Linked DNA regions of Lepisosteus oculatus. The protein of the gene in region 1 binds, or shares a complex with, the protein of each later gene. Links are inferred from orthologs where the notes say so. Each region holds a gene or a part of one and is shown on either strand. Other genes may lie near its edges. The genes, in order: mbtd1, enhancer of polycomb homolog 1, bromodomain-containing protein 8 and vps72b.

Region 1 (7,686 bases):
ACGGATAAACGAATAACGATCTAGTCCCGCAGCTAAACCAACAACCTCCAAACCTACGAGGAGGTCCCTAAGAAGGCAAATGTGCGCGCAACCTTGTCAACTCTCCCCGTCACCGGTTCAACAATCCGATGCTTCTGCCACCACCTATACAGGGGCACAGGAACTGCCTGCGAAGGGGCTCGGCACGACGGCCACAACCTGCGGAATGTGAAGCGTCTTTACTCAGAACGGCAGTGCAGTTGTTTTCTGGAAAACCCAAGGCACGTCCGAACTTACTTTTTCGGGGTGGGCTGGGTTGTGACTTAATGGCAGCTGAATTATGAATTATGGCAGCTGACAGAAGGAAAATGCAATCGGGCGATGCCACGGCACGATGATTAAGGGATTAAGGAAGAAGGGTAACAGTTAGCTGGGTCTCTGGACGCACCGTGCAGTGCAGATCGCTCATGCCATGATGCGCGCACGGTAACGCCTGGGGTGTTGTACACCGTGTGTGGCCCAGAGGCGGCTGGCGGTTGGCACAGGGTCGGTGCAGGAATATGATGAATAATGCCAACGGCCTAGCGGGGACAGATCACCCCCCGCCCCTTCTCCCGGCTCAATCCCCCTCACCTCCTCGGCGTGCTTCCTCAGCGCCTTCTCCCTCTCGTACTGAGTGATCAGCTGCTCGTTGTCCTCCTTCAGCAGCTCCAGCTCCACTTCGTGCTCCTGATTCTCGGCGAAGACGGAGTCCAGGTTCTCCAGCACGGCCACCACCAGCGGCATCAGCTCCTTCACCACGTCCTCGTCGTACTTGCCGATGAGCCTCTCGAACTCGCGGTAGATGGAGCTGGCCAGGCCCGACACCCGCTCCGACATCATTGCCGCCGTCCCCGGGTCGTCCTGGTATACAACTCCGTCCTCTAACTCCATTTTCTTCTCTCTCTCTTTCCGATGCGGTGCAGCCCTCCACCTCTTGCTATCTTGTACGAATTTATCTGCTCCTCAACGTTGTGTAGATGCCGGACTTCTTTAAAAAAAAATTAAAAAATAATAAAAAAATAAAAGAATCCGGGCAAGTTGCAGTCCCTCCCTTTAAGGGAGCGATGTCTTGTGTTTTATTTGGCTGCCGCTCCTCCAGCTCCCTGTGCAGCTGAGTTGTTGACCAGACCGTCACGTGATGACGTCACATTCTAAAACCGGGGCTGGGATTTGCGAGTGGAAGGGCTGGAATATTGCGCTGCAATTTTCGTTTCTTTAAAGATTACGCCTGGGTGTCTTTAATTAATTAGTAGTTTCATTTTGCACGAGTCGTGAAATTAATATTTTTGAAATATTCAAACAGAACAGAGTGTATCGAATTATCTTTTTGTGCGTTCACTTCTTCATTGTCTTCCAAGTACTGTATTCGTTTTTATTTATTCAAATGCACTGAACCATTCGACTTGTTCGTTTTTAACTAGGTAAGTCTTGCATTATGTGTTTTAAGACAAACATAAGTAAAACTCAAAAGAAATAGCCAATTTAGAACCCACTGGAGGAACTAATTAAACTAGTAAAGAACTTATCGAATGTCTGCACTTCTGATTAGAATATATCCCTCAGATGAATGGAGGTGGTATATTATCGAAAGCAGAAAGTGAGGAAGTCTGTTGGATTATTAAATATTAGAACAAGGTGGAATCTGACGCCAAAATGTTTAATTTAGTTCAGGTTTGTGAATCTGTATATGGTGCTACACATGCGGTTAGTGCTTGTTTTTGAATTGTTGAAAGTTGGTATGTCATGCCCAACGAACATGTGCAATATCATATTTAATACATTGCATTTTAAAAAGAAATATTTTTATAGAGTGCCGTCTACCTGGCACATAAGACGTTTAACAACTCACCTGCTATAGGTAAAGCTGAGTCTGATTTGATGTTACAAAACAGCGCCCTCTGCTGGGTCTCAAATGTTGCTGCTCGTTTAACCAGCTCATACTTGTTCCTTGCGACGTTGGTATTACCACGACCAAAACAAAATTATATAAAAAACAGACATTTTAATTTACCATGGTTCTGTTTTAATATGTCAAACTATCCCAATAGCAAGCTCTTGAAATATGTTTTCCTGACACTCCTGCTGTTTTACAAAGTGCTGAAAAGACACAGCTCTCAGTCTTCAATTAAAACGCGCACACAGAAGTGGTTTACACAGAGGTGTCCCTATCAAAGCAGAAGTTAATCGACCTCTAGTTGGACCGAACGATAAAGCAATCTGTTGGCTTAGAAAGGTACGTTTTTGTGCGCCGCAAAATGTCGAAAGTTCCGAGCTTAATTATTGTTCTTGTTACTGATAACGTATGTATTTAATGGTGCAGTAGCAGCTGTATTTCTACTTTCACGGTTGAAGTATATGTAGTATGTTATAAGAGTTCGTGTTGTATTGGAAGTTGCAAGGTAAAAAAGCTGGTTGAAATAAATGTGTGCACATTTAAAACCAATGTTCCCATGTCAGAATTCCTCTTTGGAAAATCTGTTGCCCTCTTTGGTAAGCGGGACTTAACAGTAAAATGGGGTGAATGGTATTGTAAATTCGTGATCGACTCAGGATGAGAGAACTAAAGAAATGTATGTATCTTGAAAAACAGTGTTACGATTTCAAAATGTACAACACACACATAACTCGTACGTTGCGTGTGAATAAATCAGGTCATTTTAGTTTTGGGAGCGAACCATAAACATTAGGTTTTCAAATGTTTAACGCAAAAGCTATGAACCCCACATACGGGATACAGCGTATACGGCGTGCATGTGTAAATTCACTGCCTCCATCACAAGGTCTCTGCTTTCTTAAAACTGTGTCGGAGTCTTCTCTTCTTTCGATCGCTCCTCATGTACCGAGCAGGTGCGCCCCAGATGTTGTACGATTTCTTTTAGCTGGGTCAATTCGTAACATCAGTGGGCTTTTGTTCAGTGCAAGTGAAAAAACTGCCTGAGGTCTATCTAGCTTCATTCGTTTGGATACAATAGCTCTTTGAAGGATGTCAAATAAAAAACAGAAGTGTCATAATTCCGTTCAACTCGTGATATGTCTTTGGGTGCCTGCAGAACAGGTGCGCTCCATTGAAGCAACGATAACAGACTCCCCCCCTCAGGTAGTACGGTGGCCTCCAGGGGCCAAAATCCTCCGTGTAAGGACTGTGTCGATTACCATTTCCTCGTTCCGACCAATGGCAACCAGGGGGTTTACCCTGCGCCTGCGCTCTGCAGATATGATAATTTTGTTGATATTCAGCTGGAGTTCAATATTTTGGGTTTTAGTTTGATTTTCTGTTCTATTTCTCCTTCTCGGGAATTTTACAACTGCACACACAAAACAAAACGGCATTGCATGAGGGGCTGATGGAAAACGCCAGGGATTTGGTGAGTTGAGCGGGGAGATCGAGCGTGGTGCTTTGGAGTGCAACAAGCCTGTTTTTCTCTTCCTTTGTTGTGATTGTCAGCCTGCAGCAGAAACAGCAGTAGAAAAAAGGGGCCTCCAGATTCGCCTAGGTAAAACAATCAGGTTTCCAAAGGTTCGGCTGACGGATTGCCGGGGCTTTAACGATTGTGAAGCACCCGAGAATTAGCTGAAACACATTGCAGAGACGCTAGTTTGCAGGACGAAGTGGAAAAGGCGTGCAGGCCCGTCACGACTGCAGTGGTAGTAGCATTCAAAGCACACACACAGATAATGCTTCCTTGTTTTTTTGAAATACTTGGTACGTAGACTTCCATGTCATTCGTGTATGTAACGGGTAAATCCTTCAAAATACGTGTTTTTCTGATATTACAGATAAAAACCCCAGCGAACACACCTTGTTACTAGGTGTTAGAGTTCCGAAGAAATAAATGCTGAGAAATAGCTGCTTATTGCTCTGTAGACCAGCGTTGCGGGTTACCATTCTGCTGTTACCGTGTCACACAGCAGTTTCGCTCTGCCTTGAGATTTTTAAGCATTTCTGCCGGAGTTCAAAATCGTAGCCATGTTTACAAATTAGAGCCCGGAAATGTTATGATACCAAGTTTTAAATGACTTGTTTAAATATTTGCGAAAACTCGGTATATCTTTTTATTGTCACCTTTAACTCGTAGTGTACTGCAGTTGGAGTAGTTAAGCTTATTGAAATACTTACAACTGTCGTTTGCGGCCGTAGAATGTATTGCATCCTGTGAAATGCATATGAAATCGAATAGCGATCATTGAAATTTCATTTCCATAAATATTTGTTTTTCTATGTGTAAGGTGCTCACTGACCAGTAATACATATCCTATACAAAGATTTTCTAGGTGTATTTCGGGTGTAGTAAGTTTCCACTACCATTGAAAGTTGGAAATATTGGATGGTAATAAGTGGAAGAAATAATTGTAAAAATGTTTGCAAGGTTTTTTTTAAGTTCTGTTCTTATTATCTTGGGTCTTTGAGTAGCATTTATTGGAACAGCGAGATTCTGTTTTGGGAGTTCATCATATTTATCAAATAAGTCTCTTCTGTGCTTAGAATACTGTTCAAAGCTGCCACCCATTATACCATTAAAATAAACTTTCTTATATGCAGGCTAAGAAACATCTTTTAAATATTGATTAAGTTGTCACAGTAGTAAGCTCCAGCAGATAGTGGATTTTGCACTGTACAGCTAAACTGAATACTGACACAACATGTTCTCCTTTCCAAAATACGAGGTGTGCCAAATAAAATGTAATGTTAAGAGCAAAGGGATCAATTCAGGAAAAAGAAACATGCTCTAGGCATGCCCCATTGCAGATTCTGAACTGCTACTCATGAGAGGGACCTGGATGTCTAGATTCTTCTATGTTCTCATCAAGACACCAAAATGCCAAGGTACTGTATGTAGCAAAACCTGAGAAATTTAAAACAAGGGAAGCTGGACAATACGCTAGTGTGGACTAATTAAAAATAAAAATCTATATAATTCAACTTTGGTTACAGTGTAATGACATTACATGTGGTTTCATTACTCATAATTTTTTTCTAAAGTTATTTCCTTTTTAACATATTTTAATAGACAGGTTAAAGGAACATAGTCTGTTTAGTTTAGATAAAGTAGGCTTGATCCTAATATTAATAATAATTACTTACATTTATATAGCGCTTTTCTGGACACTCCAGTAAAAGCACCTTACAGGTAATGGGGACTCCCCTCCACCACCTCCAATGTGCAGCACCCACCTGGATGATAATATCATCCAATATATCTGCCTCTGAGGTTTTTATATTGGGTCAACTTATAGGACTACTTACGACTCTGTAATGAAAATAAATTATTATGACTGTAATAAAACATAGATCACATTTAGAAACTAAAGGAGCAATCATTTAGATTGGGGAGTAGAAAACATGTCTTTACACAAAGAGCTGTTGGGGCCTTTAAGAAGCATTCTAGCTAGGCCTGTGTTGAGATCCAGAGTCTGAGAGTCTGAGCTGCTTCAAGAAGCAGCTGAATTTGCAGCTGTTCGCATGTTCTTATACTTTAAAATGCACCATGTGTTAAGTTTTGTTTAAAAGAAACTATAGAAACTTTGGTATTTTGAGAAAGGTGTTTTTGCAATCTGGAATCATGCTCTTAAAATAAAGAAAAATAGGCAGCATACAGTAGCTTTGGTGTAGATTTTTAATCTGAATACACTAAGTGCACATTGGTTTTCAGGCTGGTTAATATGCCTGCTGTGTTTCTGATTGTAACCCATAAGGCCAAGGCAATAGGAAATGCCAGGTCTGCAGCCAGCGCTCTTCAATGCCTGTCTTTGTTCACCCAGACTGAACACACTCCTCGGTCAGACAGGAAGAGGCGGGACTCCTTCGGGATGTATGATGGGTATGACAGCTGCAGTGAGGACACCAGCAGCAGCTCTAGCTCGGAGGAGAGCGAGGAGGAGGTCGCCTCCATACCTGCCAACCTGCCCATCATCAAGAACAATGGGCAGGTGTACACCTACCCAGATGGCAAAGCTGGCATGGGTCAGTCCACAAGTTCACGCTGCCCTCTCACAACACAAGTCTAATTACCCAAATTAAAGGCATAGCACACAGAGTGTTTGGTGTTTATTTTATAGCGCCATACCACCAGCACACAGAGTGTTTGGTGTTTGTTTTATAGCGCCATACCACCATTTAAAATGCAGTTAAGTCATTCTGTCTTTACTAGAGGCCAAACTTACTCATTGCTCTTTCAATATTTTTTAGCTTTATTATCTATATTTAAAATATCATAGTTGTGATTATTTTACATTCTTTCATTCTCTGTTCTGTTGAAAAGAACATCTTTCAATAGCTGGTGTAAATAAATGCATAGCTATATACTGTACATATATATCAACTGGTAATCCGTAGACTGAAATGTGAGTTACAAGGGCTCTGGGAAGAGTCATCATCACTAAACAGAACTAGAAAAAGGCAAGTTTAAAGGAAAGTCACATGACAGAGTAAGCTGTGCAGATTTTAACAGTATTTGCTTGTGTTGAATTATATCGGGTGTGTTCTGTTTTTTTTTTTCTGCATGACATTAATGAGTAAATTGAGAAAAAAATGTTTCCAGCGACAGTCTGGGATCGTGCAGGGATGTTTGCACAATTAAAAGGTTTCTCACTGTTCCCACCACTTGTAAGTGTGATGTAACCCACAATTGCCTGTTCTTTCAGCTACCTGTGAGATGTGTGGAATGGTGGGAGTCAGAGATGCCTTTTATTCCAAAACCAAGCGATTCTGCAGCGTCTCTTGTTCCAGAAGTTATTCCTCTAACTCAAAGAAGGCCAGCATTCTGGCTAGGCTCCAGGTAATGTTCTTTATTTTACACGTGACCCCAAAGAAAGCTGTTTTGGTGCTTGTGTTAGCAAAAAGACCTAGGTTAGAGTCACCAGCCAGACGAACAGCAGCTGTATTCACTTTTATAAGATTGTAATCTACAAATAATGTACATATTAATGTCTTTATATGTTAATAACATTGAATATTGGATATTTTTTATTTGCAGGGTAAACCACCTACAAAAAAGGCAAAAGTCTTACAAAAACAACCTCTAATGGCCAAGTTAGCAGCATATGCCCAGTACCAGGCAAACCAACAAAACCAAGCTAAATCAAAAACAGGTGAGGGACAGTGAAGTCCTGTAACTGTGACTATTTAACTAGTAAGAGTTTGTATATTCACAGAGTGGTTAGCATTTACTACATTTTACTACATGTGTGAATCTAAGAATAAATGACACCTTCCTTGATGCAGAAATTTGAATTTTGCATTCTGTAATGTACATAGTGTAGGTGCGTGGTATTACTAGATCATTACTCTCTTATTAGTGCTCCCAGAAGTAGCTGAAAGGAAGCACATGGTTGATGAATATAAGCATAGCACACAGAGGGCACTGCCTTTTGGAAAATGAATGCCGTTTAAGCTTGCCATTTCTGAGTGGGACTCTTATAAAAACACAAAAAGATTCAATTTCTTGAAAATGCATTAAAGATATTTAGGGAATTGGGTGCTGGAGTGGATATTAGCACTGTTGGTAATAAGTCACCTGAAGCAGTGATAAACTGAATATATTTTATCTTTCTGTCCTTGTCTTGCCCTTTTCAGTGGTTCCTGTGGAGGGGTTTGATTGGGGTCGTTACATCAGCAGCAATAACTCTGTTGCGGCACCTGTTAGCTGCTTTAAGCACGTAAGTAGA
Region 2 (7,624 bases), on another chromosome or scaffold:
AGAGTATAGCAGAGGGACTTTCAACATAGTCTTGTTCTGCACAGTGTTTCACCTAGCATCTGATTCCACAGACTTTAATAAGAATCATCTGAAACTTGAATCCTTCACAGTGACAATCTTGTATATTCAAAATGCAACCAGAAACACCTGTAAAGGTCTGCCTTGCATGCTTCTCCATCTTGTGCGCTTATAACCAGCTTGGGTGCTGTACTTCCATCTGTAGCTTTTTCTTCATCCCCAATGCCTCACGGGTGTTTTTCTTTTATCCGTCATTGATGTTAACAACGCAATTCACCAACCTGGTGCATCCTTGTCATGCATCAGAAAATAGTGCATGGTTCATCGTTGTGTACGTCTGTTGCTACTGATTTAGGCACTCCCAGAATATAGTAAATGACAGCTGCATCATAAAAAAAAAAGTCTTCCATTGTACATGGAGCTTAAACTTTTGCTTTCTTGGAGGACGAGCCCTAGGTATGTTCCCACTCGGATAGGGCCTTCATCCAGCCCTGCATGTGTGGAGTCGGCACATTCTGCCCATATACTGGGGTGTTTGCCAGGTGCTGCGGTTTCTTCCCACCTCCCAGAGATGTGCCAGCTTGGCTTCATGGGGTATTCTGATTCATCCTGTGATTGGCTGGCGTCTTGCCCGGGTGCAGAGTGTGGGTGTGCTCCACCTTGCTGCCTGTGCTTCTAGGAGAAGGGGCTTTCTAATAGCAGGGTGGTGATTGGAGGTTGGTAGGGGGCATCATCCCTGATCACAAGAACTAGTCAGCCCCCAAGAACATTGGGGCTTAAATATTAAAGTTGGTATAGATGCCTTGCTTATGTGGCTGTTTGATTTTCAGCTGAAGTAAGCATCACAATGAATGGAGGAGATATATGTGGTGGTAAAGGAATAGTGTACGATAAGGTTTGTGTTGGGATAAGGTAACATCACACCTGGGATGGCTGGACAAGAAGCTGCTGGTCAAGAACATCCAACACCTCAGGTGTGATGTGATTCTAGTGCGTCACACCCTGGAGATTAGTTATCTTTTCATTTTATAATATACAGTACAACAGACCTTGGTATGGTTAAAAAAAACAGACCTGTGCATTTGTACTAGTCATTTTGTCCGAGGTTCAGTTTAAAAAGAAGCTGGACAATCCTGGTCTTGCAGAGTCAGTGACTGTAGGTTTTCTAGGTCTTATTAGAGCAAGAGCACATGGAAAAACTAAATATTTTTGTTAAATTGTCCCATTACACCATAATTAGCTGATTTAGGTTAATAGATGATGTACTCAAAAGAAAATGTATAGATAAATCAGCCTCCAGAATGAGGAATACTCACGCCTGGTTTATAACATTTGATACAATTTTTGTTTTTGTTTTTAAACCATGTGCTCCATTCATTAACCCCCGTGATGTCTCACATATTTGTGTTCTCAATTCCACAAAACAGTAAGACTGTTAAATAATACTGGAACTAATCAATATATAAATTATGGTATTAAATAGCTAGCATTGTACAAAAATGGGCTATTCATCATTCGTAAGACTTGAGGGCTATATTTGTCATCTGACCAGCATCATTTGCTACAAGAATGTCTTTAGTACTCAGTGAAAAAGTCTTAAGTAATTAGGAGTTATTCTGAATAACTATTCAGAGTACATTCACATTTAGAGCAAGTAGTAGTATAGTAGTGTTAGCACAGATCTCTGCAGTTATAATACTAACAAGTTACTGAAAACCCAGTTAGAAGATGGGATACATTTCTTGATCTCAAATGCCTTCTGGCTTTTACATTAAAGTTGTGTGTATGTTAATCAAAGAGTTGGGTTTGTAGCCACTTGTACACTGTTCACAGTGTCTAAGAAAGCAGTTAGGTGCAGGCTGTAGTGTTGCTGACCAGCTGATAGGTAGCAGATGGTATCTATGGTTCATTTGTTAAATATGGCAGTTTTTTCCCCCGAAATGTGGATTTGTCATTTTGCTTGGTACCTGTCAGGCCTGGATTTATTCTTTCTCAAAGCTGTGCGGTTATTTACTAGTTTGGGAGCCTCAACAGCTGGTGGTACTGGAGAAATGATTCTAACCGATAAGAATTAGAACACTAGATTTTGTGCAACTTCCTAGTTCTACAGGGGAAATGGTCTAACTTAGCTTTAAAGGAAGTACATTTGCAACTGAACATATCCTGTTTTATCTGATTGCACCATGACTGTTGCCAGGATCTCTTGTATACTTGCTTCCAGGAGCAATAGATCCAATCTGGCTTTTATATTTTAACCCACCTTAAACCTAAATAGAATAAACTTTAATTAAAGGACTCTTTGTTGTTTTGATTATAACATTTCCAGCCTTTAGATGAGTGGAACCGTAATCATGCTAAGGGATTGCAGTTAAAATTTCACTAATCGAAGGAAATCGTGTTGTAGCATCTTTGCACTTCTGACGTTATTATACATATCCACACCAGAATTCAAGGGGAAAAAAGTGTTTTAGAAATAGGATATCTACCATCTTTACACTTTTCTCCTTGTAAGAGATGCTTTGTAAGTGGAGCCTTCTTCAGGAATAGGGTGTAGATGAGGAAGAGAGCTGAGCCCCAAGTCAAAAGAGTGGGAGCAAGAATGACAAAAATGTGCGGATGAAAAGGGAGAGGTGAGAAAGGATGAATAAATATTTCCCTAGATGTTGTTTAAAGCTCTAGTCATGGAGCATAAAAAAGGTACACTTAAAATAAAGATGACAGTACATTGGTTTAAATTGGAAAACTACTAAAGTAAAATGATAGGTACAAACGTAGTTTCTGTATCGCAACAAATAGTTGTATACCTAGATGAAAGTGTCCACTACTTTAAATGTCTGTATGCCCAATCTTGGACTAGGTAATACCTGCTTAGTGGCATCTGATAATATTCTTTGAGGAACTTGCTGATTTTTACCCCTTTTGACTTAAGATATATCACTGGTGCCTCATGTCACACTCATCTCTGTGATCTTTACTCTTTTAATGTATTTCTCTTGGCATACGAGGCAGGCTCTCCTGTTAAAATCCCCCAATCTGTAATTTGTGGAAAACCCTTCCTTTTTATTTTTTTGCACCTCTGTGCCATCTTACTGCCTATCACTGAGCTAATGCTATTATTGGATTCATTTTCCATGTAGACCTACCGTTTTGGGGACGGGCACTTTGCTTGCTGCTGCCAGTGCCTGGGACCTTTTGCAGAGGTTGAAACTGTCCATCTTTAGATGTGAGTGTTCAGTTAAATGGTGTAAATCCTTAATTCCTGCACTTGTTCACATTGCAGACCATGGCAGTGTCATTTTAATTTTCTTATCTGGTAAAATAAAGGATTCAATGAAATTTATCACTAGAAAAAAAAGATGTCTAGCTGTCAGTTTTAATATTATTTAGCAGAAGTATAAACATTCTGGGAGTGCCATTGGTGGAATTTAATCGCCACCCTGTGTTTCTGTGAATTTAACTGGAGTTTAATTGAAAATGTACTAGCTTTTGCTGATCACAACTTCAAAAGGGACAAAAAGATCAATGGTTTGATGATGCATTTAATCTAATTAAACTCTTCAGTAGTGTCATTGTTTAAATCTCAGGCTAATACAATTTGTGGATGAAAGTTTGATTTTAATTAGGTTAGCCACCGATGGTTTTAGTTTTCTAAATGTGTTATTAAGCCTTAAGTTTTTCGAGATCAATTTGGTATTTTTTCCTTCTTGTGGGCATGATTTAGTTTTTAAGTGCTCTTAACTTTTTTTTTTCCATTGGTCTTGTAAAGACTGATTTGTTTTGATTGTCCTTTACAAAGCTGTTGATTCCTTTTACTTAGAAACTCTCAGACAGTATAGAGCAAACTTCCCTGGGTTCGCTTACTTACTGTACCATGCGATTCATTTTCTTTTCAAAAGAGGGCGACATTTTCCAAGATTGTGGAGATTCAACTGGAGGCGTCCAACAAGAAATCGGTAGCAGGCAGCCTTGGAGTTAAACGCCAATGATCAAATACCTGTAACTCTGATGGCACACGGAAGACTTAAAAAAAAAATTAAGCTTGCAGTAAACCGTAGGATGTCTTACTTACAATATTGGGAGGAAACTAAACTTAGAAACTGCCTCAGTGTTGATGCATATTACGTTTTTACCTGTAGTTTTTATCTACCGCACATTTCATTACCAATAGAAACCTGTTCTTCCGTTAAGATGAGAACGTAGTTGTAGACTGTACAGTGTTGGTGGAAATTCAACTTCTCTATCCTCTCGGGTCTGTAGTTTATCCCGTGTTAACCCCCATTCAGCCACAGACCAGGGGGCGAGTGCGCCTTTAAGTCGCGGGTAGCGCGTCCCATGTCGGCGCAACACACACGCCGTGTAGTGCGGATGGAGGCTGCGAGAGCTGCTGCTGCTGCTGCGCGCTGCCTGTCAAGAGTGCGCGGAGGAAAGAAGAATGGGGCGGGGAGGGGGGGGGCCGCGGCTCCTCGGTGCTGTTTATTTCGGCGTTGCGAGCGCTCCCCTCCCCCATGTTGCCGCCTCCTCCTCCCCTCCGGGCGCCGCGAGCGCGCACGCGCGCGGGGCCGTGCGGGAATGGCTGTGCGCTGATCGGGGGGCTGGGCCGCCAGCAGCTACCGGAGAGTTAAAGAGTTTTTAATGTCCGCCATGTTGGCCATGGCGTATTGAACCAGGGAGAGAGAGCGGAGCGACTGAAAAAAAGAGACCGAAAGAGAGCGACCAAGATCCGGGCCTTCCCGGCTCCGTTCGCCTCGCCGTTTGTATTTTTTTTAACCAATCGAACGGTAGACGACTGGAGAACGACACAGACACATCCATGAGAGCTCAAACCGGGACAGTTGTGAATTTTAGGGGATCGGATAGATTTATGCTGCATCTCGAAATATAAAAAATGAGTAAATTGTCGTTTCGGGCACGGGCGCTGGACGCTTCCAAGCCACTACCTGTCTTCCGCTGCGAGGACTTACCCGACCTGCATGAATATGCCTCTATTAACCGGGCAGTGCCGCAGATGCCAACTGGGATGGAAAAAGAGGAGGAATCGGTACGTTTTGCAGTTCCGAAAACCTATTCTTGGTAAAATGTCCAGGTTTCGGCAGCATGAAGGGGCGCCCCTATCTTGTCTGCGCAAGCTTGCACAAAATGGCCGCCATATTCTCGTTCCAGAAAGGCGGCTTGGTTCGGGGTTTTGCTCGCGTCCTAAGCAGGATTTGGTGCAGTATATACAAATATAAGACGGCGCTGGTTGCAGATGGTGTTGTTGGGTTCGGTTGTCGGGGCCCGTTAACCCGGGAAAAGGGTTGCACGGCACAAAGGGGTCACGTGACTCGAGGCGAATCCGCCATTTCGCTGACTTTCTCCTCGCGCTGGGCTGGGCCTCGTGTCGCTGCAGGAGCCGCGGCCCGGTGCGAGGGGGCGCGCGAGAGCTGGCAGCCCACACCCCCCCCCTCAGTCTGAGTACACATGGGATACTACAACATAAACAAGAGCGCTGTCGGCTGGGAACGCAGGTCCGACTGCCTGTGCTCACGTTGGTTTTGACGCAGAAGGAAGCCGTTTTCTGCATTCTCTAGACTCGTTTTTTTTTGCTTCACGACATGAACTGTTTCTGAAATGGAGTAGTACCAGAAGTATTTTTTAACAGCGTCGTACGCGTTCTGAGTTGTTGGCGCTGACAAGAGTTTGCGATGGGGTCACGCTGTTCGTGTTTAAGTTTGCGATCTGCCCATTTGTCTTTCAGTGTTTTCTAGAGACACGGCAGCTGAGCAAGTCGCGGAGGTTTCCGTAAACGAATGTACAGCTTGTGTACGTGAAGGGTGTTTTTGTTTTCTTTCGTCTTCGGCTGTGCCTCGCACGGAGCTGGGCAGCGGGCACTGCCGGGCTGCCAATGAGGAGACTTCCCTCCGTTTGGCAGAAAATGGACATGACCGGTCTGATTCCGGCTGAGGTGTGCTCACGCCTGCTCGGCTGCCGTGCTTGCGCGGCTGTGTTGATACAGCTCGTCAGGAGGCGTGACGCAAAACTGACCCAGTTTTGCCTTAGTCCTAAAACCGTAAATTACCCCCCCCCTCTCCCCAGTCCCAGTTAAATCTGCATTATCGCCTCGAGAGTAGGTCTGAAGTTTTCCATTATTTCCGAACACCATATCTCTTCCTACTCCGTGGCCGTTATCCACACTTCCTCCATTTGCGTTAAGTTTGGCGATTGATTTAAGCCTCTCACGCTTGAGTTGCCGATTGAATGAAGAAACGGATAGTCCTAAATCTAGGCTGGTAGTTTCTTCGCTTCGTTCTGCAGCTTTGAATGCCAAGAGGGAAAGCTTGTGTAGAAGCCGGTCGGGTATGGTGAATGTTTTACAAACGCAGCAGTAGCATCTGTGCGAATAAGTTAAATTGTGAGGTTAAAGCAGGCTATCGTTTTTTTTTTGCAATAGTATGGAGACGCCTCTCTAAACCACTTTACCGGACTTTCTAGTAAGTCCTAACCGCAGATCTACACTGTCACCTTCGTTGCAAATGTCAGTTCGCCTTTGAACTGTTGGCGCCAGTGAGGTGAGATGTCAGTGGGTGAAGTCTTCTGCTGAACTCTGTAAGCAGGCAGAGCGCTGGGTTTGCAGCTCCTATTTCAGTTGTAAACGACAAAACTTGACTTTGAAGGGCTGCGTGCTAAGAGAGAGATTAGGAAGATACCCCTGTCTGATTTTTACCTCTTTGTGGGGAATCCGTACCCGAACGTGCTGTTTTTTAACTCTAACAATATATTCTTCCAGTGCCCTTCTCTGTGGAGATTTTAAGTTCCTTCTCTTGCATTTAATCAATATCACATTTGCATATGTGATGGTTGATGTCTTTGTGGACATTTCCATGGTTATTGTACACACTAACGTTTTAACTTGGTTTTCTCTATGGTGTTGTAATACAAACTGTTTTGTTTAGGGTTGAAATAGGAGGGAAGAGCATTTAATGATGAGGAATGACAAGTTTGATAGTTGCCCTGTTAATTGTTACACTGTTTAGGATCAAGAACCGAAAATTAGAAATTGGATGCATCTGTCAAAGCACTGTAATCCATTGTCAAAATTGTTAGCAACAGGTGAGTTAATTAAAAGCCGTGTTGATTTATGCTGTGTATATGTATAAGAATGCATTACTGATATTACACAATTTATTGATCAGACTAAGTGTCGTGCTCTGCCCATAAATCTCATTTAAACCATTCAATTTTTCGTGATATTCCAGTGGGTGTTTGGATAAGCAGAAAGGGACTGTTCGGCTTCTGATTAGGAAGATGTCTGGGGACGCAGTGACCCACCAAAATAAGGGAGATTTAATGAGCTAATTTTGTATTCCTAAGTCATTCTCATTAAACGAACTTTGGTCTTTCATATCTGCTGTCCTCCAGATATATTAACAGAACACGGCAAACTACTAATCTGGTGTGGTTCCTTGTGGCCAGTAGTAGTCAAGAGAGGCTGCTAAATGTTGCCCACATCACCTTGATTTGTCTTCTCGCTGACATCTGATCCGTTAAAAATAGCAGTGAGAGGAAGGTGAACAGCCTTTTTTTTTTAAGTCTAATAAATCAAGATGGAAAGGAATCGATTTCTTTCTGT
Region 3 (7,760 bases), on another chromosome or scaffold:
CTCCGCCTCTTCCTCGTCCTGTTTCTTCTTCCTGGAGGCGGGAACAGTAACCGCATCAGTGACGCCGCCACCGCCTGCCGACCGCGCCACAACCACAATCAAATCACAGACATCTCCTGAGCCAGACGCACAGGCAACGAGACCCAGGCAAGTACACAGAAGGACAGGCGGCCTTTCACAGACACTGGGAGATGGACAGACTCACAGGACGATCTCCCCCCACAGCTCCTCCAACTTGTTGTCCAGATGTCCAGCCTGGATTAGTTCTGCCTCCTTCTTCAGCTTCCTGCAGGGAGAGACGCAGTAAGAGTGGACTACAGTGAGGACCATCAGGTCACAACACAGCACAGCATACAGGGACACAGGTTAGAGTAACAGTACACAACAGCACAGGCTACCAGGACAATACTGTAGAAAACAGTGTAGAGTAATATTACACAACAGTTCAGGCTACCAGGACAATACTGTAGAAAACAGTGTAGAGTAACATTACACAATAGTTCAGATTACCAGGACAATACTGTAGGACACAGGATAGAGTAACAGGACAAAATAGTACCTGTGCAGTTCCTGAGTGTCTTTGATCAGCCTCTTGAGCTCATCTATCCTCTCTGCTGTCAGTCTGCGCACAATCACGTCCTCCACAGTCTCCACCACCTCACCCTTCTCTCCCCTCTTCCGCCTGAGAGAGACACAACATTACACAACACTCCTGCACTGTCTCCCCACCACCTCCCCCGAGACACAACACAACACCGCACTCTCTCTCCCTCACCCCACCCTGCTCACACCCGAGACACAACACAACAACAAGGCACTCTCTCTCCCTCACCCCACCCTGCTCACACCCGAGACACAACACAACAACACACTCTCTCTCCCTCACCCCACCCTTCTCACACACCAGACAACACAACACCGCACTCTCTCTCCCCCACCCCCACCTGCTCACACCCGAGACACAACACAACACAAGAACAAGGGATGGGGAGCTGCACTCACTTGGGCGTCTCTGTGGTCTCCAGCAGCTCCGAGTACTGGGAGGCACAGTGCTGAGAGAGACAGACAGGAAGGAGGAAAAACACACTACCGTCACGGCGCTGAAGAGGTCGAGGAAACACTGCAGGAGAACGAGCATCACTGTGTCTCCTACCTTCTGAGAGAACCAGTCCGGAGGGCGGCCTGCTTCTGCAAAGGGCTTGATGGCTCTGCTGACCGACACCCTGGCAGAGGGAGATGTATCTGTTACTGTGGAGTTAACTGTACCTGCCTTGTGAACACTGCGGCTGATCGGTCACGCCAGTGAAGCTCTTTGAATCTGATAGGCTGGGAGAGAGAGAGGATGAGGAGAGACATGGAGACGGACGGAGAGGAGAGGGGGGACAGCTGGAAATTGAGAGAATGAGAGGAGAGAGACGGGGACACAGGCAAAGGAGAGAGAAGGGAGAGGAGCAAGAGGGGACAGTTCTGGAGGGAAACTGTCTGGCAGCCATGAGCGCCAGACAGAGAGACAGGAAGAAAGAGCCCCTCTTACCAGTTCTGGTCTCCACTCCTCATCACAGACGAGGCCAAACACAGCTTCTCCCTCACAGACCAGGGCTCTGTGGGGCCCAGCGACATCAGCTTGTGCTCTGGAGAGAGTCGGGGAGAAGACAGGGGACAGGGCAGAGAGAAGATAGGAGAGGACAGGGGACAGGGCAGAGAGAAGATAGGAGAGGAGGGAGAGGACAGGGGACAGAGCAGAGAGGACACAGGAGAGGAGGGAGAGGACAGGGGACAGGGCAGAGAGGACACAGGAGAGGAGGGAGAGGACAGGGGACAGGGCAGAGAGAAGACAGGAGAGGAGGGAGAGCACAGGGCAGAGAGAAGACAGGAGAGGAGGGAGAGCACAGGGCAGAGAGAAGACAGGAGAGGAGGGAGAGGACAGGGGACAGGGCAGAGAGAAGACAGGAGAGGAGGGAGAGGACAGGGGACAGGGCAGAGAGTAAACAGGAGAGGAGGGAGCGGACAGGGGACAGAGCAGAGAGGAGACAGGAGAGGAGGGAAAGGACAGGGGGCAGAGAAGAGAGAAGACAGGAGAGGAGGAGACAGGGGACAGGGCAGAGAAATTATAGGAGAGGAGGGAGAGAGAGAAAGGTCATATTAAAACAGATAAACTGTATGTGTGAGCAAAATGACAGTCTCCCTCTCACTGTACCAGACACTGAAACCTGGCTCTTTAATCACAAAAGGAGTCACTGACGCTGAGGAAATGATAACAACTGTGCCACCATGCCGCCTGCTGAGAACAAACAGCCCGAGTCAAACCTGGTTCAGTCAGTTAAGAGTTGGATCGTGTACCTGAGGTCTGGCTGGAATAAAAGGCAGCAAGCGTTCGGGCTCCAGGAATATTCTCTACAGGACTGGGGACCACTGGTCTAAAAGATACTCAACCGGCCATGGCGAGAATATTTCTAAAGGATATTTACCCGGCTACCGATCATGGATAGTTAGTACTAACTGGTACTAAAAACGTGGGAAGTGTTCAGTAATAAACAAGAGATACGCGCACGCCTAGCGGTGTCGTAGGAAGTAACAGCCAGCCCCTATCAAGCGTTAGTACAGCTACCAGCGTGGTTTCTCTTAACTTTCTTTCAGGTTCAGACTCTGTATGACACACAGACCGAAAACTGAGACGCTCTCGTACACCCCGGGCCAAATCCTGAACTACAGTCTTTGTGTCTGCGTTACGTTACTCCTAATGTTACGTTAAAAACCGTCCGTTACCAGAATACCACTTATTTCTGGGGAAAGTCACGGTAACCTTACATAAGGAGTAAGGAGAAACATCCGTTCATCGCGCAGAACAGACACACAAAAACACAGAAACAACTCCAAAACACTGATAAAGGTACAAAGACACAATTAAAATATAAACAACACCTACTCCCTATGCCGCCCGCCATCTTGACTCCTTGCCCCTCCCACACCGCCACTGAGCACTTGCACTTCCAGGTCAAAGTGCTTTTCTAGCCCCGATGCTGCCTGGGAAATGAAGTCTTTGGCTTTGGAGGGACATGTACAGTATGACCAATTTATATATCGCTCATGGAAAATACACTTTATCTATAGAAATACAAATAAGGTGGGAATATTGTACTTTCTAAAGTCTTTGTTTCTGTAAACTGTACTGTTTACATTAGTTTATATACAGACTTCAGGGCCGGCCCAATAAGAAAGGGGGATTAGCTCAAATGGTAGAGCGCTCGCTTAGCATGCGAGAGGTAGCGGGATCGATGCCCGCATCCTCCAAAGACTTTTTCTGCACTGCAGTATCACCTATATTTGCATTTCTGGGGTGTTATATACTGTAATTCTGCAAAATCAACTGCATTCAACTTTCTACAGTATCATCCGTGTTCGCGTGTCTACACGATTATATATTTTACATTACTACCTATATTTGTTTCTATAATACTACATACTTCTAAGTTGTGTCCTATATTTGGATACCTCTGCCTATGTTAATCTGAGTTTACACTTTTAAACAGGCGTCTATTTGCAACCCCTAGTATCCCACAATCAAAGGCGCCTTTCCTAACACAACGGGCTGGGACAGACTTCGCCCGCAGATCAGCGCCATCAAGGCAAGACGCGGCCCAGAGGGGGGGCGACAACAGCGACTCCTGACGGCGATGCTGGGAAGTGCAAACTCCCGACCGGCCGACCCACGTGACCCGCTGTGCCCTGCGGCTCCTCAGCTGCCAACAATGCGCCGTTTGTGTGGGACAGGCGGTCCAGATGTTTATCAAATCGATGTGGGTTCACATCAATGCTTCTTTAGTACCGCCGAAGTGAATACTGTTCACATTTATTGTTCAGTCCCCGAGGGAAAGAGGTGCTTGCCCACACACTAAACGAATTTGCACGGCTGTCTAAAGATGGCATGCTGTTTAGATAATCTATTAGCACAGGAAGAATAACATATCTGTAAGGGGGCGAGAAACGCTGGCTTCTCTCGACTAAATTCACACAGCAGGTTTATTCAAGTAGATAAGTACAATATCTACTCATGTGGGAATAAAGCCGATGTGAACATGAATACGTAGCTCTTAGAGGCTACTCTGTAGCGATGCAAAGGAACAACTAAAGGTTTAAACGAGCACCCACCAGCTGCGGTAGATCGCCATGTTGGCTCAGCTCGCCACGGTGCTTCTTTTTTTGAGCCAACATGGAGCCAGTTTCCATTGGTCGCACTCTATTTCTCCTTCACAGAGGCACGCCGCCGCGCCCTTTCTCCGCCTGCGCCTTGGGCGAGGGTTCAGCGTGCCGTCCGATTGGCTGGAGCGGCGGCCCTCGCATTCCGAGCGCTGCCATTGGGCGGCTGCGGGCGGCACTCGGAAGGTGATTGGCTGTCCCTCCGGGGCGCGACGTTTGAATCGGTTTGCTGAGGGGCTGAACGCTGGTCCCAGAGTTCTTAGTTCAGCGCGGTTGTTAATTTAAGTTTAGTCGACAGAGGAAAGGGTTTATAGGACTTTTAATGTGCCTCTATTTAAACTTCTAGAGAGGACACTCAGTCAGAAGACGTCAGAACTTTACGGAAAAACCTGCGTTTGTATTTAAAGAAGGTTAGTGTTTTGTTTTGTCTTTGAACTAAATGAGGTTGCGTGTTTTCTCTCGATAGTGAATGTGGGTAATTTTCAGATTGAGGACACACCGCTCGAAGACATAAATGTCCTACACCCGATTGCTGTTACTGTATGAAGTATTACAACAGTAATTCGTCGGTCACGCCAATAAACTTCAGTAAATAAAAAAAAAGACCAAGAGAGCGAAACCTTAAAATCACTGCGGACAGTGTGGTCGTGTAAATTAATCTGTGGACCCCCCGACTGCGTGCGCTCTTTCTACCGTAAACAGACTTCCGACCTGGTAAGATACAGTTGCTATAAACACCCCAGTGTTCCTCTTATTTCTAAATTTGATGGTATATTGTGTTCTTACAGTTTTTATTGCATGACTTTTGTGAACTGACAAAAGAAAGCCCTGTATTGAAGAGGTTAGAGAATAAAATCGAGAGTATCAGACTGCGAGGCGGGCAAAAACCCTTTTTAAAAGGACGCGTGCGCCTGACCCCCCGTGTGCATGTTCTTCGCTTCTCGGCATTGAAATTGCCCCAGCCTGCTGGTCCGCAGAGAGAGGGTCGTGCGCGGTCTGAGTGGGTTGTCCACCCGCGGAACTGGTTTGAAACGGCCGGGTTCTCCACAGACTATCCCTGTATCTGTGCGGGTTTCCTTTCTCCGGGGGTGGGTGGGGGGGCGTGCTCGCCTGACTTGTTTATCCTCGTGAAAGTGAGCTTCACGCACAGGCTTGCAAATTAGGAACAAACTGCAGCACCGCAATACCAACACTGCTGTTAATTCCTGGACCCGGAGAGTCCCGGGTCCGATGCGGTTTTTCACTCCACACCGCGCTCTAAGACTTGATCTGAACCAGGGCTAACAAGCGAGAGGAGGGCCCGTCTGACCGCTTTGATCGATAGTAGCTAATTGATCCCGGGATCAGTGATCAGCTGTTTCTTGTAAAAAAAAAAAAACAGGGTATCGGCTTCCACAACGTAGCGGGACAGCTTGTACCACACTCCCACCACTCTTTGTGTACAGACGTGCCTCCTGTCCTGACTGGCTGGGCAGCTTGTTCTACGGCTCTCTTTGTGTAGAGGGGGTGTGGGAGAGCCTTGTGGGACGAGCTTGTCCCCTTGGAGTTTCTGTTTTTCCCCCTTGTCCAGCTCTCTCGCTGGGATTAGCAGTTACCTGTGGAATTTAGTGGACTGGCCCCATGTGGAATTTACCTCCACTGCTGAGAGAGAGGGAGGCAGCTCTGAAGCTGGTCTGTGTTCAGTGAGGCAGCCCTGTGCCCTGCAGGCTGCTGGCTCCTTCCAGACTTCTCTAACCACCTACCTGCACCTGACCCCTGTGACACTGTCCCAAGCCTCTAACTTGGCCCCTGCAGGGCCTTGCGCCCTCTGTAGTCCATTCATTAACCTAATTAACCTAAATTGGACACGGGAGTTTTCCTAAGGTTTTGAAAAGCTGATAGACGGACTGTAACAACAAGGAATTAAACTCGAGAACTCGGAGGATTCTTAAGATTTAGACAGCATTCGGGACTGGGCAAATACTTGTGAGTTCTGAAGAGCAGGGTTCTCGGTACAGATCCCTGTGGTGCTCCACTGATTACATCCGCCATCCTGAGTGTCCTGCCCATTGACCAGTTCCCAATCCCAACACATCCATGAATACCTGCTGCCAGCAGTGGGATTATGCCTCTACCGAGACCCCATGTATCCCATGCTGGATGCTGTCTGTTACTGTTGTAGCTCTGCCCGGCTGAACAAGACCCACCTTTTCTGAGAGTCTCGCAGAGACGATTGTCTGGTGTAGTTGTAGTAGGTGTTAACATTGATCTGAAGCGTAGATCAGATTGACTTGCCTCCGTTTTTTGCCCTTTCTGTGCCTGAGCGACTATTTGGAAGAGTTCTGCTAATTGCCTACGGAGAATCGGGTCTCTCGCCTCCTTATGTGCTACTGCTAGAACACAAACAGGACCCAGTAAACAATAGAAGCTCGGAGTTTGAGCCAGTGGTTTAGAGCTATTTTTCTGGACTGATGCTTTGCTATTATTCCTATTTGTTGGAGCGAAACTTGTTAGCGTGAGACTTGTACTGCTGTGCACTGGGAGTGTGACTGACAGCACTGTAAAGCCTGGAGTGATTAGCTTTATTGTAAAATCATCACTGGCTGTCTGCTCTGTTGTTATACTGCTGATTTTCATTTATTTGAAAAAAGCTTCAGTCTCCCTGCTGTTTGTGGGTATATGGACCAGTGTGTGTCCGTTCAGTGGGCAGTGGCTGCAGGTGTAGGGGGCTCAGGGACCGAGGGGGGTGTGAGTGGGTGTGGGTGTGTGTCGGTTCAGTGGGCAGTGGCTGCAGGTGTAGGGGGCTCAGGGACCGAGGGGGGTGTGAGTGGGTGTGGGTGTGCGTCCCTTCAGTGGGCAGTGGCTGCAGGTGTAGTGGGTCTGGGAGATGGTGGGGTGTCACCCCTCTAACCTGAGGCTGTCTGCTGCTTTCGCAGTGGTTGTCATGGCGACGTATGGGGCCTCACCGCGCGGCCTGCTGTCGGACGAGGAGGAGGCTGCGGTGTTCGAGTCGACGGCGGCCGAGACCGGCGGCGGGCAGAGAGGGGGTCATCGCCTCGCCGAGCTGTCAGTCATCTCCCCTGGAGCGGACGCCCCCACGCCGGTGAGACAGGCGACGGGGCAGCGCAGGCGGAGCCGTGCTGGGATATCAAACCCCTCGCAGCGTGTGCAAGCTCTCCTGCTCTCGTGTGAACTCTCCCTCTCTCGCACACTCACATCACGCTCTCTTGCTCTAGTGTGAACTCTCACTCTCTCGCACACCCGCATCACGCTCTCTTGCTCTCGTGTGAACTCTCCCTCTCTCTTGCTCCTGGGCGTGCTCTCTCGCACACTCACAGCACACTCTCCTGCTCTCGTGTGAACTCTCCCTCTCTCTTGCTCCTGGGCGTGCTCTCTCGCACACTCACAGCACGCTCCTGCTCTCGTGTGAACTCTCCCTCTCTCTTGCTCCTGGGCGTGCTCTCTCGCACACTCACAGCACGCTCCTGCTCTCGTGTGAGCTCTCCCTCTCTCTTGCACCTGGGCCTGCTCTCTCGCACACTCACAGCACGCTCTCCTGCTCTCGTGTGAACTCTCCCTCTCTC
Region 4 (6,912 bases), on another chromosome or scaffold:
ACTGACAAATATAATAGAGTGGAGCAGTTCATCTTCAGCAATTCACCAGTCATGCCAATAGAGCTCTGTGAATTGGAATAGTACACAAAAACCACAACATGGCTGTTTTTTTTTTCTGTCCTGGTCCAGTGTTTCCAGACGGCTCAAGTGGGAACTATGTGACAAACCGAGAAAAAGGACACGCCTCTTTACACAAAGGGTGGTGGGAGTGTGGAACAATCTGCCCAGCCATGTTGTGGAGCCCGATACACGGGCTGCTTTCAAGAAACAGTTGCGCCAAGTCATTAATAATAATAATAATAATTGCTTAAACTTATATAGCGCTTTTCTGGACACTCCACTCAAAGCGCTTTACAGGTAATGGGGACTCCCCTCCACCACCACCAATGTGCAGCATCCACCTGGACCATTAGATCAACCGCATCCTAATGACAAAACAAAATGGGCGCAATTCCTCTGGTTCTCGTGTTCTTCACTTGGGGACCTGTTTCCAGAACTAGTGTACCTGACAGACCCCCGATCCGGGCGATTGTTCCCCGCAGCTCAAGCGACAACGACAACGCACGTCAGCAGATTCTTTGCCATTTGTTTGAAGAGGACGCACAAAAGCGAAAGGAGTCTTGATTGTCTCTCCGGCGTGACAGCGCTGGGTAAACTTTGCCGGGAGCCGTCAGGTGCTTTACCACTGAAGCGCAGACGAGCAGTATTTGAATTGAACACTCGCTCGGGGCTCTCATGCTGAACACACGCTCCCCTGTTCCCCGTCCCGACTGTGTGCAGGTAGCAGAAAGGGACGGAAAATGTATTTTGGAAGGTCGTTTCCTAAGGCCCGTCACGTGTGAGCGCGGCATTTTGCTGATGGACCGCAGATCGGCTATTTCCTATTCGGGACAGTGCACGGCTTTTACGTGCAGCTGGGACAATAGGCGCCACTGTTTCTATTGTTGGCCTCGGGCCTGTCTCTCCGTGTCTGCCTTTTACAGCAGTGAGGGGGGGGAACCTATTGTCTATGGTCAACTGCCCCCACAATGCAGCGAGGCCAGCAAAAAAAAACGCGATTTTTTTCCACCTGCTGCTCCATCTCGTGGTGCTGCTGAGTATCGCAATTGCGTTTGGGCAAGGAGTCTCCGCTTGTCTGTCTGGACTCGCTTCTCTCATCGCCCCCCCCAAAAAAAATATTCCCCTTTTCTGGATGGGGAGATTCTTCTGCAGCGCAGGCGGGTGTGTTTCTGCTACGGCGGCTCCTCTGGGCTGGATCGCCTGGGAGACCGCCCATCAGGTGTGTGCGGCCGGACAACGTGGGTGGTCAGTTTATTACCGTCCGGAGCTTTTGGGGAAAAACGAGCAATCGGGGGAGATACAGCTGGCCTGAAACAAGCTGGGAACAATGGCTACGCGGCCACAGCCCCTTCTTTCAAAGTGCCCTCGTTTGTACCGCTTTTGCGTGTCAATGTACCCGGAAAATAATTAAAATAAATGAGACGGATGGTTGTGTGTCTTACTGACGTTTAAGAACGGTTAAAAACGAGAGGCCATTCAGTCCGTCAAGCCCGTTTGGTAGTTAAGAGTTTCGTGATCCAAATATTGATTCCTTCTGAGTCTCAGAAATATCGAACACGTATATAATGAAAGCCAGCGGCGTGCTCTCTCACAGTGGAATACCGTCAGCAAATAAGGACAGAAACGAGAGGAGTCATTCGGCCCATGCAGTCCATTTAGTAGTTTGTAGCTAATTATTCCAAGAAACCTCACCCAGCTGTTTCTGTAAAGAAACCACAGTATCGGCTTCAGCAACGTGGTTGTTCCACACTCCCGGCACTCTTTGTGTAAAGAAGTGGCTCCCGTTCTCATGTTTTAAATCTACACTTCCAAGGAAGTTCCCACCGGTGCCCTCTAGTGGGGGGGTAGCCACTGGGTCCGGGATGACCCGTCCGGATTAAACTGATCCGGAGAGCGTTCCATGTTTCACCGCTGGTCCAGGCTAGAGGCGATCGTTGATGTGAATAGCTACCAATTACCAAGAGCTGGCTGTGATAATTCGCCCCCTCTTGTCGGCAAACTATCCTCAATTTTTAAATTGCCTGCTGGTGCTTTTCTGGAACACCAGCTCCTTGTCTTCAGCCACGCCGCCATACTAATTGAAGGAATTCTTGTATTAAGTATTAAAGGTTTCCACTTAAGTGGAAATGTCTGTTAAAGTGTGGTGGGTGCTGGGCCGCTGTGCATGAGGGATATTAAGGAAGACTAATATTTAGGAACAGTGTTCATTTCTAGGGGTGGTACCCCTGTCAGTCTTTATTGATGGTGCAACTCTTACGGACACTAAAAGCATTCAGAGTGAAGGAGAGTTTTGGCCGACTGGCGTTGTTCAAAGGGAGGGTGGGTGCTCAGCCCTGGCGGCCTCTGCATGGTGTCCACGGGTCCCTCTGTTCTAGAGTCCGAGGCTGTCCAAGGCTGGGGAGCGGCAGGATTCTCGGGGTCCCCTGTGTTTGCAGTGGGGGAGGGGTGGGGGGGGTAGCCACTAGGTCAGGGTTGCTGGTTCGGGAGGATGGTGGGAGGCAAAATAACCCGGAAAGCGTTCCAGATCCGGAGTGGGACAGCCATGGCCTTTTCCCCCCGAAACTGTGAAACCCAACACTCCGTCCAGAATTCGAGGGATTGCGTCCGACTCGGAGAGCCCGGGAGAGCGCGCTCCTCCCCCTCTGCCGGAGGTGAAACTGCTCGGCTGAAACTCTGCGGATGCTCTCTCGATAAGAGCATCTCGCCTGTCCCCATTCTTAAAACACAGCCGCCTCATTCCCCTCATCAGTAGCCCCATTCTTTGCAGCTGTGGCCTGAGATGAATGTGGGGAATGCGGCCAGGGAACATATCTGCCCTTAGATCCTTTTCACATAAATCTTCCAAGAATCAGACTGTCCTTCATGCAGCATACCAGATCTTATCAGTTTTAGCTGGTACAACATTTGTATGCATTCCAGTGCACTCTGGAAGCAGTCTGTAATAACCTGAAATACGTGAAGAATTTGCAAAGTCATCCATCCTGCCTAATATCCCTTCACACATGTTTCTGTATGGTTAACGCTCACCACATTTGACTGAGATCTGATGCATTTGTGTTTCGACTATATTTCCTTCTTTTTCACACATTATCCTTCGAAGGGACCTGCTTGCAGGCGCTGGGAACTGAATGCTGAGACAGTTGCAGCGTGCTCCCTGCCATGTCCATCGGTGCTTTCTGTGAAAACCCAGGTGGCAGGCAGCTGGATTAACTGACATTGAAAAAGGCATTGAGGAGCTGGAGCGTTCAAACTGGGGCTTGGCAGCAGAATTGCAACCAGTTCCTATATCCCAATATCCCCTGGCAGCAGGCAGAGGGTAGCCAGCACAGTGGTTATGCCACAGACTCCCATACAGTATATCAAGAGGCAGCCTGCTTAGGCAGAAGAAGAAATGCAAACATTGTTGGATTAGAATTAGTCCAAATCATCTCTTACTTGTATGACCTTGCAGGAATGTTCAGTGCTTTGGCAACACAGGCACACTCATTGTTGCTATCAGTTTTAACCTGGCACAACTGGTACTAGCACATTAGTAGGCGTAACATGTAGTTCCACCTGTGTTTGTGTATAAACAGTCAACACACCATGTTGCTAGTGCTGCTGGTGATTCCTTCAACCGCCTGTTGCTTTGAGGTGTTCTCTACAGCTGCTTGCAAGTCATGTGAAAATGGCTGACGCCAAAGGCCTCCAATCCTGATCCTAGAGGAGCTCCTAGATCTTTTTGAAACACCAGCACCAGTTTGTTAAATTGGGCCCACTTCAGCCATTAGGAGCTGATTGGACTTTGTACAGAGCTAAGCAAGGATGAAACACCTGCACAAGCCAGCCACCCAGGACCAGGGCTGGTGTCCATGTCAATCTACAGCACAGGTTAAAAGGAACTGAGTCTCTTCAGTCAAGTGCAAGAGAGCTTGAGAGAAGAAAGCTGCTAAATCATACATTTGTTTACACACTTTGAAAATCAATTTGCTTTTTTTTTTGTCTGATGCCTTTATCTAGGGCAACTTAGATTTGCCCCCATTTACCAACATACAGCTGGCTATTCAGGTGAACCAGCTCACTCAAGGATAGAAAAGCTGTGTCACAGCTGGAATTCGAACCCACAGCCCTCCAGTCTCGAACCTTGAGCAGCCTTCATTGGTAGGTGATGATCTGTGATGGCTCAGTCTCCTGAAATAATGATTTACTTACTTAACTGGGTCCTTTGATGCAGGTGGCAACATAAGATAACTGTCAAACTGTTCACAGCCGGATGAAGTTAATAATTGTCCAATTTTATTAACCAGTTCCCTTGAGCTATCTCACATGGGGAGGCATTTTGACTCCTGGGAACTGGATTGGATTGCTTTGGTTTTGATGTCCTTTGAAGGATTCATCACCTGATTTTTCAGCCAGAATATTGTGAACAAATCCCTTTGTGACGCTAAAATGTGCAATGTGAAATGTGCGAGCGAATCGTCAGTCAGACGATATTCATTTAACTGCAGGAACACCGAGGCTTGAGAAAGAATTGTAGAGGGTGAATGCTGAGGTAACACTGTCACCTCCTGGTATAAACTCGTCACAACCACTGCGGTTCAGCTCCATTAGTTGAGTCTGGATTCAAGGCTCGGCAATCAATTACAAAGACTTAAAACATGCAATGGCCGCCTTGCACCGTAGGCCGGATTGCGAATAGTGTCTAATTCTGTTGTTTAAATAAAGAAAATAATTGGACTTAAATATAGTTTTCAGAAAAAAAAACCAAGGCGTTTTCACAAAAATAACTTTCTTGTTAAATTCGACGGACGGTACAATCTAGAAGTAAACGGATATCTTAATCTTACAGTATAGCTTTACTACTGAAGGCTGAGGGGGTCGTGTTTATTTATTTTTATTTTGCAGACGAAGTTTACCCAAACATGAGTTTAGCCGTCGGTCGAGCACCGCGAAAGACGGCGGGAAACCGTATGTCTAAATTATTAGATGCGGAAGAAGATGACGAATTCTACAAAACGACTTACGGCGGATTCAACGATGTAAGTTATTAACACAAGACTTTACGTTAGAACAGATTTCTTATCAGAAATAAAATTAATTTAATAGTACAGGAAATATGAAATTGGAAGCTTCAGGTTAATACAGTAGTCATTTTGTATGCTTAAAACGTTTACACAGGTCTCCCTCATTGAAATGAAAATCGTAGATTTGGAAATGTTACGAGACCGAGCATAAAGCGAACCGCACACGAACACCTCAGCATGTGTCGTTATGGGCGGTAAGCTTGGTGAAGATTACTGGATTTCACATTTGGGCTTTCTGGACCCCTATGTCCGCTCGCTTTTGTTCCCTTAATCAACGGAGTTCATTTATTTAGGTTTTCTACTTGAGGCGTCTTCTGCTCTTATCAGTCCGAAGGAGATTTGTAATGAGCTCTTGTGCTAATATGAGGGACAGATGTAACCAGCTGGACTCGAGCACAAGGAGAGACGCTGGCTCGCTGCAGGACCAGAAGCGAGAACCACTGATGTAGGGCAGCACAGGAAAAGCTGATTTTCGCGTCAGGTAAAGGTTTATTCCGTGCTGAAAGGAAAAGAAAAGCGACAACGTTTCGGCTGTGGAGTTTCTTCAGTTATAAACTAAACGCACCTGAAGAAGGCTCCATAGCCGAAACGTAGTCTCTCTTCTTTTACTTTCAGCATGGAATACATCTTTACCTGTTCCTTTGCAGCCTACGCATGCTGACACTGCCACCTGAATTGAATTTCTGGTTTTACTGTAAACAGGGCTGTGATAAAACTGGCATTTTTTTTATTGTTGTTGTTGTCGTTCTGCAAAGAGCTTTTTTTGAAAGCCACCTTTTAAAGGTGCTATATAAGTTAAAGTTGATTATTATTGTGTTGCACTGCTCATGTGTGGGAGCCCCACAGGTGTGTCGGGGACAGCTGGGGGCACCTCTGTGATAACCAAAAATCAAAACTCAGCATGGTATACATTAGCATGTAAAAATGGCCGAAGCCAAGGGTCTGCAATCTTAGTCCTAGAGAAGCTGGTGTTTCAGTTAGGGCTCCTAGGTCTCTTTGAAATCCCAACAACAGTTATTAAATTGCAGATGCATTGTATAAAGTGTATATCCAGTGGTATAAAGATCCAGTGCTGTGTTCCACACAGCCCTATTAGCAATAATCTCTGACTCCTTCGTGCCAATTTGTAATTAAGATGTTCTAGGACTAGAGCTTTTTAATCTGCCGCTACTTATGGAGGTGCTGGAGTGTTTTTGATGAATCCCGGAGAAAACGAGCAGATTGCTCTTATAAGGGCGCCGCCCCCTCCCATCGGGTTCATTCCTCTCTGCTGGCAGGAGTCGGGCGACGACGAGTACAAGGGCGACCAGTCGGAGACGGAGGACGAGGTGGACAGCGACTTCGACATCGACGAGGGGGACGAGCCCGACAGCGACCAGGAGGAGGACGAGCCCCGCAGGAAACGGCGTGTGGTCACCAAGGCCTACAAGGTCAGGGGGCGGCTCTGAGAAACTCTGGGCCTGTCGGGGGGTGGTTTCATGGGGCGTCTGCAGGCAGCCAAGACACGGTATTCCTGGGGAATAAGATAATCTCTGTTACTCTTTTGTTGAAGGGTGTCTGATCGGAGGGTCTCAGAGAGGAATCGTCTCAGGCAACTTGGCAGGGTAGCTTTCTCCAGCTCTTAGGCTTTGTGTCTAAAAGTGCCTCCTCTTTGCACTCTTAATAAACAGGTTTCCTTTTGACACTGCTGTGCTATTCTTTTTGGCTTCTGAGGGGTTTGCAGAAGACGCTGTGCCCTGCCTTTGTGTTTTTTGATCCCAGTGATTGCCCTCGCCGGGCTTTTGAAGTT

The links.
Region 2: mbtd1 (region 1) and enhancer of polycomb homolog 1 share a complex: the UniProt entries of both Homo sapiens proteins name them as parts of the nuA4 histone acetyltransferase complex. The link is inferred for Lepisosteus oculatus from reciprocal best matches to the Homo sapiens genes MBTD1 and EPC1.
Region 3: mbtd1 (region 1) and bromodomain-containing protein 8 share a complex: the UniProt entries of both Homo sapiens proteins name them as parts of the nuA4 histone acetyltransferase complex. The link is inferred for Lepisosteus oculatus from reciprocal best matches to the Homo sapiens genes MBTD1 and BRD8.
Region 4: mbtd1 (region 1) and vps72b share a complex: the UniProt entries of both Homo sapiens proteins name them as parts of the nuA4 histone acetyltransferase complex. The link is inferred for Lepisosteus oculatus from reciprocal best matches to the Homo sapiens genes MBTD1 and VPS72.

What each region holds. Positions count from the first base shown.
Region 1 is NC_090704.1:33,791,529-33,799,214, forward strand, and holds the start of mbtd1 (MBT domain-containing protein 1), read left to right. Parts: upstream 1-4,683; 5' UTR 4,684-4,816; coding exon 4,817-4,846; intron 4,847-5,781; coding exon 5,782-5,983; intron 5,984-6,663; coding exon 6,664-6,797; intron 6,798-6,995; coding exon 6,996-7,110; intron 7,111-7,594; coding exon 7,595-7,677; intron 7,678-7,686. Other genes in the region: spag9b (C-Jun-amino-terminal kinase-interacting protein 4), read right to left, coding at 613-912. UniProt on the Homo sapiens protein: Chromatin reader component of the NuA4 histone acetyltransferase complex, a multiprotein complex involved in transcriptional activation of select genes principally by acetylation of nucleosomal histones H4 and H2A.
Region 2 is NC_090701.1:39,246,356-39,253,979, forward strand, and holds the start of enhancer of polycomb homolog 1, read left to right. Parts: upstream 1-4,610; 5' UTR 4,611-4,903; coding exon 4,904-5,056; intron 5,057-7,624. UniProt on the Homo sapiens protein: Component of the NuA4 histone acetyltransferase (HAT) complex, a multiprotein complex involved in transcriptional activation of select genes principally by acetylation of nucleosomal histones H4 and H2A.
Region 3 is NC_090706.1:29,598,026-29,605,785, reverse strand, and holds the start of bromodomain-containing protein 8, read right to left. Parts: upstream 3,018-7,760; 5' UTR 2,946-3,017; coding exon 2,927-2,945; intron 1,632-2,926; coding exon 1,535-1,631; intron 1,224-1,534; coding exon 1,154-1,223; intron 1,053-1,153; coding exon 1,003-1,052; intron 683-1,002; coding exon 560-682; intron 287-559; coding exon 206-286; intron 32-205; coding exon 1-31. Other genes in the region: kinesin-like protein KIF20A, read left to right, coding at 7,121-7,279. UniProt on the Homo sapiens protein: May act as a coactivator during transcriptional activation by hormone-activated nuclear receptors (NR). Isoform 2 stimulates transcriptional activation by AR/DHTR, ESR1/NR3A1, RXRA/NR2B1 and THRB/ERBA2.
Region 4 is NC_090722.1:5,052,871-5,059,782, forward strand, and holds the start of vps72b (vacuolar protein sorting-associated protein 72 homolog), read left to right. Parts: upstream 1-3,896; 5' UTR 3,897-3,911; coding exon 3,912-3,930; intron 3,931-4,944; coding exon 4,945-5,078; intron 5,079-6,400; coding exon 6,401-6,553; intron 6,554-6,912. UniProt on the Homo sapiens protein: Deposition-and-exchange histone chaperone specific for H2AZ1, specifically chaperones H2AZ1 and deposits it into nucleosomes.